Lytechinus pictus: one gene and its partner. The protein of the gene in region 1 interacts with the protein of each later gene in a pairwise test. Links are inferred from orthologs where the notes say so. Each region holds a gene or a part of one and is shown on either strand. Other genes may lie near its edges.

Evidence for each region.
Region 2: the proteins of peripheral plasma membrane protein CASK-like (region 1) and epidermal growth factor receptor kinase substrate 8-like protein 2 interact in a two-hybrid assay, tested with the Caenorhabditis elegans proteins (4 studies listed by BioGRID). The link is inferred for Lytechinus pictus from reciprocal best matches to the Caenorhabditis elegans genes lin-2 and eps-8.

The regions. Positions count from the first base shown.
Region 1 is NC_087260.1:13,512,044-13,519,751, reverse strand, and holds the start of peripheral plasma membrane protein CASK-like, read right to left. Parts: upstream 3,190-7,708; 5' UTR 3,162-3,189; coding exon 3,085-3,161; intron 323-3,084; coding exon 245-322; intron 1-244. UniProt on the Caenorhabditis elegans protein: May play a structural role in the induction of the vulva. May be required for the localization of signal transduction molecules (such as let-23 receptor) to either the basal membrane domain or the cell junctions.
Region 2 is NC_087250.1:9,625,331-9,633,036, reverse strand, and holds the start of epidermal growth factor receptor kinase substrate 8-like protein 2, read right to left. Parts: upstream 3,192-7,706; 5' UTR 2,612-3,191; intron 1,370-2,611; 5' UTR 1,316-1,369; coding exon 1,239-1,315; intron 32-1,238; coding exon 1-31.

The sequences.
Region 1 (7,708 bases):
ATCTTGATTGGTCAGTCCATTTAGCGATTGATCGCTAATCTTTGAGTTACGGAGCCCTGGTCAACATTTTCCTCTCATTTCCTGTCTCAAAGTGGTGGGAGCTTCCAAGCATACAGCAGACCAAACTAGAGGGTCTAAGGGTCCGAACGGCAGTCCGGAGGAATTTTTCATTTTTCATCCAGGTAACATCTGGGTATCCCCAGAATGGTCAGTGTGAAAGGGGTATGAATATTAAGTTACTTACCTTGATACTGCTTCACTGTAGACGAAGCCTGCATTCGCTCTTTTGACAATCTCAAAACACAGGTCTGCTCCTTCCATACTGCACAGGGTAATAGGAGGGTGAGAGCAAGAAGGAAAAGGAGAGATAGGGAAAGAACGAAGAGAGAAAGAGAACGGGAGAGATAGAAGGGGAATGGAAGAAAGGAGGGTGAAAGAGGAGGGGAGAGAAAGAGAGAAAACAGGTAGAACATCAAAGAGAGAGCATAAACAAACACGAAAGTGAAGAAAAGAGCGAGAGGGGCAGAAGCAAAGTTTTTTATGAATTGGGGGGGGGGAAGATTATGAGAGAGATGAGGAAAAATATATGAAGGAAGAAATATAGCAGAGAGGAATAAAAAGAGAAAGAAAATGTTGATTAGTGAATGAAAATATTTTTGTACATGTATTATATTTTCATTTTAGTATACTGCTATTCATAGCAGGGGATTCTACTTGAGTCAAGTACAATGCAAATTCAAGGAAAACAAATATTACATGACATTTTTAATGCAAACTAAGACTGAAATATTATCAAGCTGATACGTTTGTCCTCTCATCACTGCAGCATGCATAGCTAGTTGCATCAAAGCGAATCATTATATGCATAATTCACCACTCATGGGAATAAATACATGTAGCGTGCCTTTCAGACAAGTTGAATTTCTTGTACTGTACATGCAGTATTAAAAAATTTAGTGCATCAACAACTAGCTCCTACTCAATGTGTACACTGTAGGAATGGAATAGGCCTACATACTAAACACAAATCTCATTTTACCAACAAAAAAATCAATACAATTAAAAGAATTTATTAAAGCCATTTCCAGATTATGAAGACGGGCTCTTACGATTCCAATAACATGGAAAGACATATATCCACATTATATTTCTTCCCCTTTCTTGAATACAGTTTTGCCTGGAAGGCAGACTACATACATGCTGTCAGAAATGGAGGAGTGGTGAAATCTATATTTTATTGATCCAAAATCTACTTTGTCAAAACAGACTGTGAAAAAGAGGGTTGTAGAATTGTAAATAATTGAAAGGAATAACAGACATGAATTTTTATATGATGAAATGAGGGTATTCTGCATGGTAAAACAAGTTCGTACAATTTGTACTGACAAGCCATGCGTGGAAATGGTTTCCAGATACTTTTTTTTTTGTAAAGTCCCAATGATTATTTACTCAAATTGCATTTTATATAAAAAGTTAAAATAAATATATACATGTATTGAAGATATATTTTTTAATCTACTTTTTGTAACCTACTGCAACATTCTGCATTGTCATGAATGGGGATTTAGCAAGGGCTCTTTTGAACAGTTTGAGGGCGGAGTCGACCAAATCCCTCATCCAATTTCTCTAAGCTATTGATAAGACAAAATGGTCAATAAGCAACATCAATAAAAATATAGTTTCATCTATTTGAAACATGCATAGCTTCAAACACAATACATTGATAAAAAGTTCTCCCAGAATTTGAAAAACGTATTTTGTTCATTTCTAATTCTAATAACAATAGATATGCCCATTTCTCAAAGGCTGAACATACATTTAAGATTACTGAGCAAAGTAAAAAATATGAAACATCTTGAAAGAATAAGCTAAATTCTAGCCCTCGGAACTGTCACCAACCCCCCTAAACAAAAGATGCAGGCATCCTCTCAATCGAATAAATTGATGGAAACACGCACGCACATCACTCTATAGAATGCCTGGCCTAAACATCCACGGCTAAAAATAGCATGATAGTTTTTTTCTTCTACAAGGAATTCTCTCCCATCAATGGACATCGCTCGTAGGCAATCCCATCTTGGTCTTGCATGAAGTAAACCTCACCAACTTGAACCTCACTACTGCTACAGACACACCGGTGAAACCGACTACAGAGTGATCAAAGCTGTTACGTTATTTCCAATGAGATACGATCGGTCGGCTGAGAGTCAGTTTTATGGGTGTGACTGCAGCGTCATATTTGGGGATAGAATAAATCCCCTTCTCACGGAAAGCAGTCCATTTGAAATGATAGAAAAAAGGTGTGTACATGTATAGTGCATATATCATCTGTTTTCTTTACACTGAGATGCTAAGAATCATACAGAAATTGAGCATCAACTATACTGCATATAATGATACATAATACAAAAGAGACGACAAATTACATGAATGATTTACATACGTTGATAAATCCTCATATTTGTCATTACACCTACATGTATTCACGGGGGACCAGTTGAGGAGAACTAAATCATTTTTCTTATTTTATTAGCACTCATTCACGAGAGTTACAAATCATGATCTATGACGCTTGCAAGTCAATGACCCATTAAGACCTTCCTTGTCAGACTTCCTATGAAATCATGAAGCGTGACTTGTAATGCTTTGATAACCATGGCTAGATAATTCATCATTTTATAGACCTACATGTACCTGATTATTCTTTATATGTAATATTTATATTTCATTTTAAGTTCTTCATATGACATGATCTCAAATGCACATTGGATATTAAAATCAATCAATAATTGAAGTCAAGGCAGATAACTTTTCAAAAATTTAATGAAATAGGCAGTGTCCATTAGAATATGATTAGGAACTGTTAATTTCATTTCATTTCTATTTTTATTTCTATTTAATCAGGATAGCCTCGTCAGCTATAAACTCTGCTTGGCCCTGAAATATACCTGTATAGTGTATGAAGTTATTAGAGCTTGCAAGATATCTATTCTCAGATTAAAAGTTACATATATACTCCACCTGGGTGGAGAGTGGCAAAAATGGGACTTAGGCCTTGCCAAAGAACGTGAAAGATATACTTACTATTCAAAAACCATATAGAGTAGTCCATCTGAACTGTATGTCTCCAATAATTCAACAATGTGTGGATGCTTTAACATGTGACATATTGATGCTTCTCTTTTCAGGTCTACAAAAAAGGAAATGAGAGAAAAGAGAGAAAAATAAGAACATTTTAATGTTGAAGTGTTAAAAAGTATCATGACTGTATACCCAGAACAGAAGAGACACACAAATGGGCGATTCCATGCTAGAAAAATCAGCCATTTTCACGACATTTTTCAACCTGCTGTCCAAAAAAATAAGGAACTTCAACTTGTTTTGTGGTAGTAATAAAGTACTACTTGAAAGTCATGTAAAAAAAAAAATTACAACCAACAGAAAAATGTCGTCGATGGGTGAATTAGAGGATAAAATGTTGCGTCGTCGTACGGGACATTTATGAGTCCCGTGCGACACACACCATTTTCACCTTTAATTCACCTCCAACTAAACATTTTGATATTGGTAATCAGTTTTTCACATGGCTACCCACTATACCTGTATCATTGATAACAATGAAAATTGTATTGCTCAAGCATTCAGCTATGGCATCGCCCATACCATCATCTCCATTTCTTTCACAATGTATTAGTACTGACTTTTAATATAAGTTTTTACAGTGGATAATATAGAAGCTTGACTCACAGACCTGCATACATGTACATGTACATGTAGAACATGAGTATCAATTTAATAAAATATTAATCGCGCAATCAAAATAACCATGTATACATGTACATCAATTATTAATGTGGCACATGTGGGTAAACTATCTCAGCATATGAATGAATCAAGAACTATTCTTCGCATGTGCAAGTATGTCTGCACTTGTTAGGGGAACACAGACACATATGTATGTAGCCTTGTAAGACAAATCAATAATTATTCCATGAATATCATTGATATATCTTTCTGACACCACGGACCCAGTGCAGTTTGAACTTTGCTTTCCAGGATCAGAACTGCGCAAACAGAGACGGGACCTTTGTCAATACCGAGTATCGAGTATGAGTACACAATTCAAGTTGGATTCCTTCATCATGTATGACTGACCAAGATTGGAACCCATAGGAATCATAGATTCATTCCCTTTGCATGTTTCTTTCATTTTTTAAATATATTCTTAAGTAATTTAATTACAAAATATATAAATTTAGTTCAAATTTATTACAGTTCGCTCAGAAGGACCTTTCCCCCATTTCTTCATTATGCACCCCTTAATCCACACTCCAAGAAATGTTTCAACCAACATATCAGGTTGGTTAATTTATTATGTGAAACTACCATCTGTTGATTAAGAGAAATCCCCAAAATGTTGGATTTAAACATCATTTGTTTGTACCGTATGTACTGATTCGCACACCCAATTTAAGCAAACCAGTTGTGTCCTTACCGGTTAACCAGTTTAACAAGGTAAAGTGGTCTTGAAGACCACATTGCAAGGTGGATTTCCGAACTGGTTTTGAAGACCACTTAAGATCGCTTCCAAGACTGCTTTGAGCATTCCCATTACACGTTAAACTGGTTGCCACTATTAAAAAAACTGGTTTAAGAATGAAGGTGGGAATGGGGTCTAGGTTTCCATGTTCCTAGAAATCTGTTGCTTATTGGGCGGAGAATATGCACCCTCCCGAAACAAGAACCCAATCAAGGGCCTCGAGAATCACTCGTATTACTGTCCTCTCCGTCACCAGAGCTTGTACAGTAATCAATAGATGCTGTCCCTTCTTATTACCTGTACCTAGAGTAAGACATTACGGACATTTCAATGCATACAGTACATGCACTAACGCGGGCTGTTGCAGCCAGGACTAACAGAGGCTTTTGGTGGTGTTGTCAGAACCTCCCAACCCTACCCCTTTTCATTAATCCTAGTTTTGATATCGATTAGGCATGCAGATTATAAATTGTTTAAAAAGCAGTCCAAGGCTTTAAATGGCCCTTTCAGTGGCCTTGAATATTTTGAGGTCCTTTGTAACTTTCCATAACTGTACCTAAAGGTCAAGTCCACCCCAGAAAAATGTTGATTTGAATAATTAGAGAAAAATCAAACTAGCATAACGCTGAAAATTTCATCAAAATCGGATGTAAAATAAGAAAGTTATGACATTTTAAAGTTTCACTTATTTTTCACAAAACAGTGATATGCACAACTCAGTGACATGCAAATGAGACAGTCAATGATGTCCATCACTCACTATTTCTTTTGTTTTTTATTGTTTGAATTATACAATATTTCATTTTTTATAGATTTGACAATAGGGACCAACTCGACTGAATCATATAGTTTTAAGCAATGCTAGTTTCAACTGTTCATGGAGGAATCAAGCGTTGTTTCACTTGACAATGAGGAGAAAATGAGAATATTTCATATTTCATGTAATAGAATACAAAAGAAATAGTGAGTGGATGACGTCATCAGTCTCCTCATTTGCATACCACCCAGGATGTGCATATAACTGTTTTGTGAAAACAAGCAAAACTTTAGAATGTCATAACTTTCTTATTTTACATCCAATTTTGATGAAGTTTTCAGTGTTTTGCTTGTTGGATTTTTCTCTTTTTATGAAATCAACTTTTTGTTGGGGTGGACTTGTCCTTTAAATATATAAGGTACCCTTTTGGGAAGTGGCCTTGCCCTAAAAAAAAGTTCAAAATTTAAGGCCTGTATTCATGACATAAAATTAATTACAAAACATTAGTTTATAATTATATTTTGATTGAATAACAAAATAATCAAATCATGAAACCCACAAGTCATTTACCAGCAAATAGCAGAGAACATCATTCACAATAAAAGTGATTTCCATCACAAACAGATACAAAACATGCACAGTTCTCTCTGGATACACCTAAACCTTCCATTCCTCCCATCACTGCACTACACCTACATGTAAGAACTTCAGGATACTGTCATTTAATAAAATCGTGCATCTTGCAAGAATGGGGCATGACCACTGGGCAAATCTCCCCCCATGGCAGGGGGCAAAAGCACAGGAGCAGTTATTGAATTTCAACTGACCCGTCAAATCCAAAATTGAATCTACGGGAGTGAGTCGTAATGCGAACAAAATCGAACGACGGGGCTTTGAGATAACGTTTTCCCTGTCATCCTATTACTGAACCGACGGTGGTTCTGAAAGGGTGGAGGTTGCGCCGGGGATCATACAGAACTCGACCCCTTGAAATGATGGAAATCAATAAATGAAATTATGTTGAAGAAGCAATGCTGTTATTCTTCCATTCTCAAGACCTGCGCAGGCATTGTGCCGTTGGGGTAGGGTGGAATTTGTGTTATGGGACACAACACGTGGGCTGCTCAAAAAGGTCACAACTGTTTGTTCTTTTTCCCCCTTACAGTATTAACATTGTTTCGTATGATCCTCCAAGTTACATCCCCTTTATAACCAATTGAAAACGTGTCTATATACAGGGGGATGCCTAAGTTGAATGGGACATGCTCTATACAGACAGGCTGGGGTGTAATGACATTCTTTGTTCATCAAAATTTCTTTTTGAATTTCTTTTTGGGGGTGGGGGTTGATAACAGATACACAAGGGGAAAAGAATGGTTCTTCACACATTACTAGCGTTGACATGTAAATGTATTTGTCATTATAGTCCGGTCTGTTAGCGTCAAAAATACCCTACTTGTGGACACGGTGGACAAAAGCATGATTTTTTCTCCAGACCTTTGTTTATGTATAAGAATTAAAAATGGGGTATGCTCCAAAAAATCTGGCTGCAGGAACAGTGAAAAAATGGGTGAAAATGTCAGAATTTATGAGTTTAAATTGGTCTGATATATAGACTAGCGCCAGTGCAAAACTCAATAGCAGTGCATTATTTTGCATTGGTTTAGTTCTTGAATTCAGACCCTTTTTGAACAGATGTTCTGTTTGTCCTCACATCTCAATGCACCATATATTTGAATGCAGATGCTAAACAAGCCTAAGGGTGGCGGAGAACTTGGTGGAGGGGTTGAATGTTGGTGTGTATGTACATATTTTGGTCTTGGGGTAAAGATGTGCAAAATAAATTTTTGCATGTTTTGGAATTGGTGTTGCCATGGTAACAGTGTATTATGGCAAAAATAAGGTAACAATCTTGCAGTTAGAACTACTTCCTCTGTTTTCATCCGATTCTCATGAAATTTGGCACACACATTGGTCTTGAGGTGAAGATGTCTAAGACACATTTTTGTGTGTCTTTCAGAAATCTTGTTGCCATGGTAACAACATATTATATGGTGAAAACTGGAAAAATACTTACAATTCAAACTGCTTCATCAGTTTTCATTCAATTCACATGAAATTCGGCACACATTGGTATTGAAGTAAAGATGTACAAGGCACTTTTTGTGTGTGTTTCAGAAATTGTGTTGCCATGGTAACAACATATTATATGGCAAGATTTAGGTAAAAACCTTGCAATTTGAACTACTTCATCAGTTTTGAACCAATTTTCATGAAATTGGCTCACACATTGGCCTTGAGGTAAGATGTGCAAGAACCTTTTTTTTTTGCATTTGTCAGAAAGTGCATTGCCAGGGTAACCACATATGATAGCTAGAAATGCAGGAAAACTCATTGTGGATCAATCTACT
Region 2 (7,706 bases), on another chromosome or scaffold:
TATGTGACTTCTGTCCATCTGGCCATTCGTTCTGTTGACGAAAAGAAAGGAACGAAAAGACGATCAGAAATATTGCATCGATTGCTGCATTCAATGATCCACGATACTATCCTTTCAAATATTTTGGGGTGAGATACAAATACAATCTAACTCATTTCTTTCTTCCCACGTTCACTTTCACTACCAGTAGAAAATTCAACCACAATTCAAGCCCCCTTCAGACACAAACATGCATCATAAATTTCAACAATCCAACCTAATGTGTCCAATACATTCTAACGAAAAAAATTTTAAAAAATCACCATCAATCTCAATACTACGAACATCATTCCTCAGTTTCCTCACATAATTTGCAAACTGTAATTAATTGATGGAATTCCTTCTCTTTTTATCTATTCTCTTTAACGCTCAGAGATATTTTCGTAAAAAGTGCTACATAGATGTTTGGATTATTATTATTCTATCAGATTAAGGCTTAATATGTGTACTGTAGATCCAGTCTGAGGTTACTTTGATATTCCATGTATGTCACATGATTTACACCATGCTGAGTACTGTCATTTGCTAACTTATCATACGGGTTACGAATACCATCTGGGCCCCAATGCATAAAAGTTACCATAATGGCACTTACCATAATGGCACTACCATGATGGTATGGTAATAAGGCTAGACAGCCAATCAGAATCAAGGATTCCATGAAAGATACCATTCGAAAGCACATTTACTATAATAGTAACTTTTATGCAACGAGGCCCTGGCATAATCCAAACAAAAGTTGATTTGAATACACGCACAGAAAACAAATTCAGATGCACTACATGTATAATACTCAGTGATCATTTATTTTAATGATTTCCCTTTTTATCAATAAAAAGTGATTCATGAAAGCAATACATTTATTTTCCTTTGTTTATTTACTTTTATTACACTGATGTACATATTTGCATATATTCACTTGTTTATTCAATCATTCATTTATTTAGTTATTTTTCAATCATTTATATGTTATATTTCTATTATTAATATTTATTTATTTTATTCATTTATTCATAAATTTATTTATATATTTATCATACTATTATAATTTTTTTATTTATTATTATAATAATAATAATTATCACTATTATTATTATTTAATTATTATATATATATATTTTTTTTGGAGGGGGGGGTATTATGGATTGCAATGACAAACTGAACATTCACAAATCATAACGACGAAAACGAATACTCACTGTGGATGGTGGCCCCCATGATGTCCGTAGGGGGACTCCTGGACGTACGGGTTCTGTCTTCCTGTCGGAATCGGCATCGTGGGTTTCGTTACGGTGTCTCTCGATCTCAAATTCTAAGATTCATCAACCACCTGAGGAAATGATATGAATATGAAATAAAAAAAGGTTGACTAGTAGACGACTAACAAAAAATGTCGAAAGTGGTCTTTGGTACATCACGTGGAAAGTCATAGAAATGACTAAGAAAAGTGAATAGAGGTACATACTCCTAAAGACAGCCAGTCAACCTGCCTGAAAGTTGGGTTTTCTCGCCGGCTCCTGCTCTACAACTCCTTTCACAAATTTTCAAACTTCCCTGACTTTCCATGACCACAAATCTTTCCAGGATTTTCCATGACTGTGGGAACCCTGTGAATGATGGTATTTTATTGTGAGGGGATGCAATTCTTGGGTATGTGCATTTTAACAAGCCTTTTTATTGTTTTTTGTGCATGCCCAATTATTTTGTTCATCTATGTTTTTATAATTATGTGACAACCATAATTTTATCATCACCACTATTTGTTTCAGTTATGTTCTGTTGATACCTACATGTATGCTTTGTTTTATGTTATTTATATCTCCTTTGTGTATGTATAATTTTGTTCTCATTTTGTTCATTTTAATGAATATGGAAATAAATGCTGAATTGAATTGAATTCTGCATTATCCAGAGTTGAATTCTATATAAAAAATTGTAAATTGTATCAGCAATAACAACTATCATAAATAGTTCACAAGTGATAAATAGTACTGTAAGTATCAAAGGTAGTCCTGAACTGAAAAGCAAACACACATGAAAAGTTATCAGAGATGATAAAATTGTACCTGTACATTCCAAAGGGCAAGTATTATCTGTAGACATAGATGTTGAATTGCATTGCAAAGCAACTGAATGTAAACAATAACATAGAATAAAAACAATTAATGATGTACAGTATGTGAGCCAATACAGAATTTACGAGTAAAATAAAAACCAAGATACTCCCGCTCTCTCATTCCCAAGCTCTTCCGCCCCCATCCTCCCCCTGCCCCCCCCCCCTGCAAAAACAAATGTGTTTGGTATCGGTTATTGATCAAACTGAGAAGAATGTTGTTTTCATGATATCAAAGATAGAAGTAAAAGGTGTACAAATGTATCTCACACAGGGTGGGAGGGGGGGGGTCATACAATTCTGGTTAATTTTTTTTCTGGTAAGGCATTTTTGCATGTAGCTTTGAACCCCTATATCTTATTATCCAGTAGCCTACTGGATCTGGGCGATCCCTGTATAAAGCCTATGAGAATTACAGAATCCAGCAGTCGAAGGGTTAACAGTGGAGTAGCCCAATACCTTCATCTGTCACTTCCAAGTGGGACTAAAGTCGGCAAAGAAAAATCCGCAGTCAAAACAGAAGTATTTTGCAGCCACTTTGGTTAATGATTAAATCCAAATTAAACAGGAACTATATCCAGAGTCGGTGGTATCCTGAAACTACTTGCAACTGTATGAAGCATCAATCTGCAGTGAAACTAGTAGGTTTTTATAACCATGTCCTGCTTCGGCTAAATCATTAAATCCAAACTTAAACCGACACTAGCACATCCACATCTCCGTAGTATTGTTTTGTCCAACTTCTGAAACTAGCAAAGGTATGTAGCAGCAATCCGCACTAAAAAAGTTAAAACCAACTTGGCTGCGGGACTGGCTAAATCCAAAATTAAACCAGAACAAACACGTCTATATCTTTGTTGTATTTCTTTCTCCAAACCCCGAAACTACAATGTAGCAAGGTATTCCAAAATATCCAATTTACTGCATTTCACTTGAAGCGCACAGGAGGACTTGATGACTTTATTCTAGGAGGTAATAATAATACACAAATGCAGTCAGCACAAGACCATGTACACACCTATCAATGCAATGGGCATATAATAGTTCTGGTTCTTTGCCCATATTCTTACCGCCCCATATCTAAAGAAGACCAATGAACCTTGGACTATGACGTTTCAATAGGACGTTTTCTAAAAGAACACAATGGTGAGGGTGTGTTCCCACAATAAACTTTGATTGCATGGCATGTCGTCCACATCCGGAAGGATATGTAAATCTGTAATGATGGCATACATGAAAATGTGATGATTGCATTTGTGAAATGATTGCCTAAATGAAATCATTGCCTGTGCCTGTATCAACTTTTTGCCTACATTATGACTGCCAAAATCAATGACAGTATTGATTCAAATGGTTGCCCAAAAGATTACTCATGATTGCAAATATTTGAAAATGACTGGCAATTTGATTTCCAAATCAAATGGGTGAAAACATGCAATGATTGCCAATATTTGGCAAACAAATCCTACATGTACAAAACACAATGATTGCCAATACAGGGATTCCAAATTGGAATTGAAAACAATGATTGCCAACATCAAATGACTTTAAAACACAATGATTGCCAATACAGGGATTCCAAACTGAAATGAAAAACAATGATTGACAACATCAAATGACTTCAAATTGCAATAATGATTGCGTAGTATTTACTTGCCAGAATGCAATGATTGTTTTAATTCAAATGATTGCCCAAAATTGTCAATATCAATTATAAGTACGGTACTAAATTAACACAAGCTCATGATTAATGTCAGTGATTTAAAATGAAATCAATCGAGGGATTGATTTTTTAATGATTTTTTATGAGCAGTGATTTTGAATGGGGGTCTGAAGTAGTCATGTGTGCCCTATTTGGACCTATGATTATTATCGTTATTATTACGATTCACTAAAAAGTATGAACAGACCCAAATCATACTTCTAAACAGCAATAGGTCACATGGGATCCTTCACAATATGGCTATTAATACGCTTTGCCATTCCTAAGCACTGGTTCATCCATGGGTGTATTATGGAATAACCAATGCACCGTGTCAAGGAATTTCATAACAATTCATAAAGCGCTTTTGTATAAAATGACAAGGTTGCGTTTCTCTATTTTTCAAAGAATTGTTCATGAAACCATGTAGGGAGGCTCTGGGTTGGGCACACATTCAGGGGATCTCACCCAGTTGATCATTTTCAATTCTTTAGTTATTTTTTTTTTTTTGGGGGGGGGTTTTGTTTTAAATCTTGGAATAAAAACAAGGAGATTGGATGGGTCGGCTAATGATACAGAGGTGTGAATATGAATAATCAATTGTAATACGCAAAAGAAGTGTACTGGAACCTGAGATCCCGAACACAAATCACAGCAACGGACTGTAACATTTTTCTAGAAACAATTACATTGACTACATGTACGATGTACAATAAATTGAAGATATTGTTTCTAGGATCAGCCTCTAGGCATGTATACAATATGGATCTGGGTCATATCTGTTGCATAAATACTTTAAAGCTAAATTACAGTAGTTGCAGTAAAACACTAATTTCGTGAGAAAGTCTGTAAAACCAAGGTTAAGGATGACTATATCATCGTGGATCTAGATATGGTACAGTTACATAAACTGAACTTTGTGAAATCATAAAATCTAAGCTGAAATACGATCACACTGAAGATCGCCAACACAGATAGGCACACGTGGGACAGTGTATTATTATTGCTGGAATAAAGACCCGACGGAAGTGACCGAATCCGCGCTTATTTTGCTTATTTCTCAGCAATTACACAATTTCTTCCAGAATCCTTTGGCACATATTTTTTATTCATACAAACAGACACTTGGGTGGTCATTATATTAGATTCCGTAAAAAGTCATTTTGAGATCGTTACCAGAACTGGAATTTACCTTTAATATCACAAATCCACAATTTCTATAACAAATTTACTCTTCAGCAAATGAAAATGAGTTATGACAGTAGCTTGGCTTTTAGTGAAAATTTTTTATTATGGAAGATTTTAAGGAACTGACCCTCAGTGGTCGATAGAAAGGCTTCCAGAAGACAATCATGCCTGGCCATCCCTTAATCTCCATAAAAAGATCTAGGGGCTCTTTCAAAGTTTCAAATGAAACCTAAAAAGTTATTGAACTACCAACTCTAATTTCTTTCTCTGCTGTGGCACACATAAGTGTGTGTATGCGAGTGTGGGTGGGGGAATACCATAAGTCCTTTACCGGGAATCCCATTCGGGAAGGGGGTAAGCGTCTTTTGCAGCACTTTTCCTGTGACATACCCCGTTGCTTTGTCTAGTATGATAGATGCTAGAATTAGTGCAAAAACAAACCTTGCAGGATTCCAGCAGGAATGGAAGCGGATGGGTCTTTTGCAGACCTGCCAACCTCTGGTAATGAAAAAGTGTATTATGTGATTAAAAAAAGTGTATTTTTCCCCAAAAAAGTGTATTTCATAATAAAATGTGTGGCGTGCTCGCTCATCGCGGCGCTCAAGCTGCATGCAAGCTAAAATGCGCACTGCTCTTGCAGATGAAAAAAAAAAACATTTAAACAATGTGTAAATCTCACCCTGGTTTTAACAAAATGATTGAAAAAAAAAGGACCAAATTACCTGAAATTACATTGATCTTACAACCATATTTGTGTAAGTTTTATGAAATAGAGACATACATAAAGAGATGATTTTCCTCAATAAATTACGATGTTTGTACTGCCGTATTTTGGTTGCAAAAACGTACTAAATACGCCCAAAACGTACTGGTTGGCAGGTCTGCTTTTGGTCAGGCTCCTGGTGCAAATATTCCAGAGCAGAATGATTTTTAAAAAAGAGTTTGTCACATTTGGGATCTATAGAGTGGCTGAAATAGAAATTCTGATGACAATCGAGTAAAAAAAGGGGGTCCCATCCACCATCCCCTGCCCCCATCTAGCCCCCTACAGACCTGTTGATATGCCCCGAAGCAGTGCCATCGCTGTACTTCCCCTTGATAAGCCCCTCTCCTTTCCATTTCAATGTAGAGAATAGTCCAGGAATTCTATGTATGCCAAAAAATTGTTTGCCTTTATTGCAATTTCTATAGATAGTCCAAATCCAAACAGCTTTGTGTGTCATTTCAATACAGAAGGCCAGTTCATCTCGCCATAATCGAGCTTCATTCTTGTTGTATTTGCCAAGCAATTTTTGCGCAATTCATTAGGTCAATTTCCTGGGTGTTGATCTTTACCAGTTGCCGTGGCGACTGGCATATTACCCATTTCTTGCAGATTGTGAGCTTGAATGCATAATGAAGAGCATTGTTAATAATGTTGGAGTGAAATGACATGCCAAACAAATGGTTAAATATGAATAGAGGATGTGGTACATATTTCAAATATCTGCAATAATTGTGTTTTGACGGGTCTCAGTGAAGTGTCATTCTATAAAGAAAAACTTCGCAACTTCTGAAAAAAATGTCTTAAAGATAAATACCAGTTGTGGTACGATCTCAAAACAGAATCCAATAAAATTACCAACAAAGTGTTTGTAAACAGTGTATAAATTAAAAAATATGTGGCAAAAGGCTCTTGAAAAAAATGTGAAATTGATGAGAAATGAGTAAAATAAGAATGGAATTCCATCAAATGTTGGGTAATTTTCCAAGCAATATTTATACACTGTCACACATACACTTTCCTGTATTAGTGATCATCAGAATTATCGGTTTTTAGCTAATATTTCATGATTTCTCAAAAGTAAGTGTACATTAATGTGCCAGATGTAGATATGTATGGTAAAAGAATGATGACAATTAATCTTGATTTAAAATATTTTCTCATGAAATATTTTTTTGCTGGAAGTATCTTCTTTTACCTTCAAGCGTTTTTTGGCACACAGGACCTCTCACAAGATAGCTATTGCACTATTTAAAGTTAATAACTTTACCACAATAATTATCTTAAAACCAAATACTACTTCCTATCCCTCTTTTCATTCAAAGTGATCGGTCCTTAACAACAGCTTAACATTTCAGCTGGAATAACACAATGCCAGGGAAAAAAACCATTACATGCTTGACTGAGAAAATATGTCTTCGTGTATCCATAGGAGTATTGTTGTGGTGAAAATATTTCATAAATATTACGATTTCAGCAACATTCTTGACATTCCAACAGGATGATTTTTTTTTGCGTAATCCCTCACATAATTCCAAATCAAGTTAATTGATTACTTTTGGTGGTGTTAGTGGCAAGCTGGTGGGAATGCTTTTGATTCATATTAATGGCATATTTCCTGAGAAACGGAGGAATGGGTACTGTAAAAAGAGTAAGCCAGGGAAAAGTATTTAGAATTATTAATGACAAACTTGACACAGTGGTGCAAGAACTGAATACGTACAAGTAGCATTCTATACTGTGTAATATCGAGAAAGGGTTTTTACCTGTTCAAGTGTCACAAACAAATCAAAATTATTGTTAATTCTTCTCAAGTAAACAGATTGAAGGGGAAGTTCACTATGACTTCAAATTTATCTAAAAGGTCAGTCCAAAACTTTGAAAAAACACCTGCAAAACCC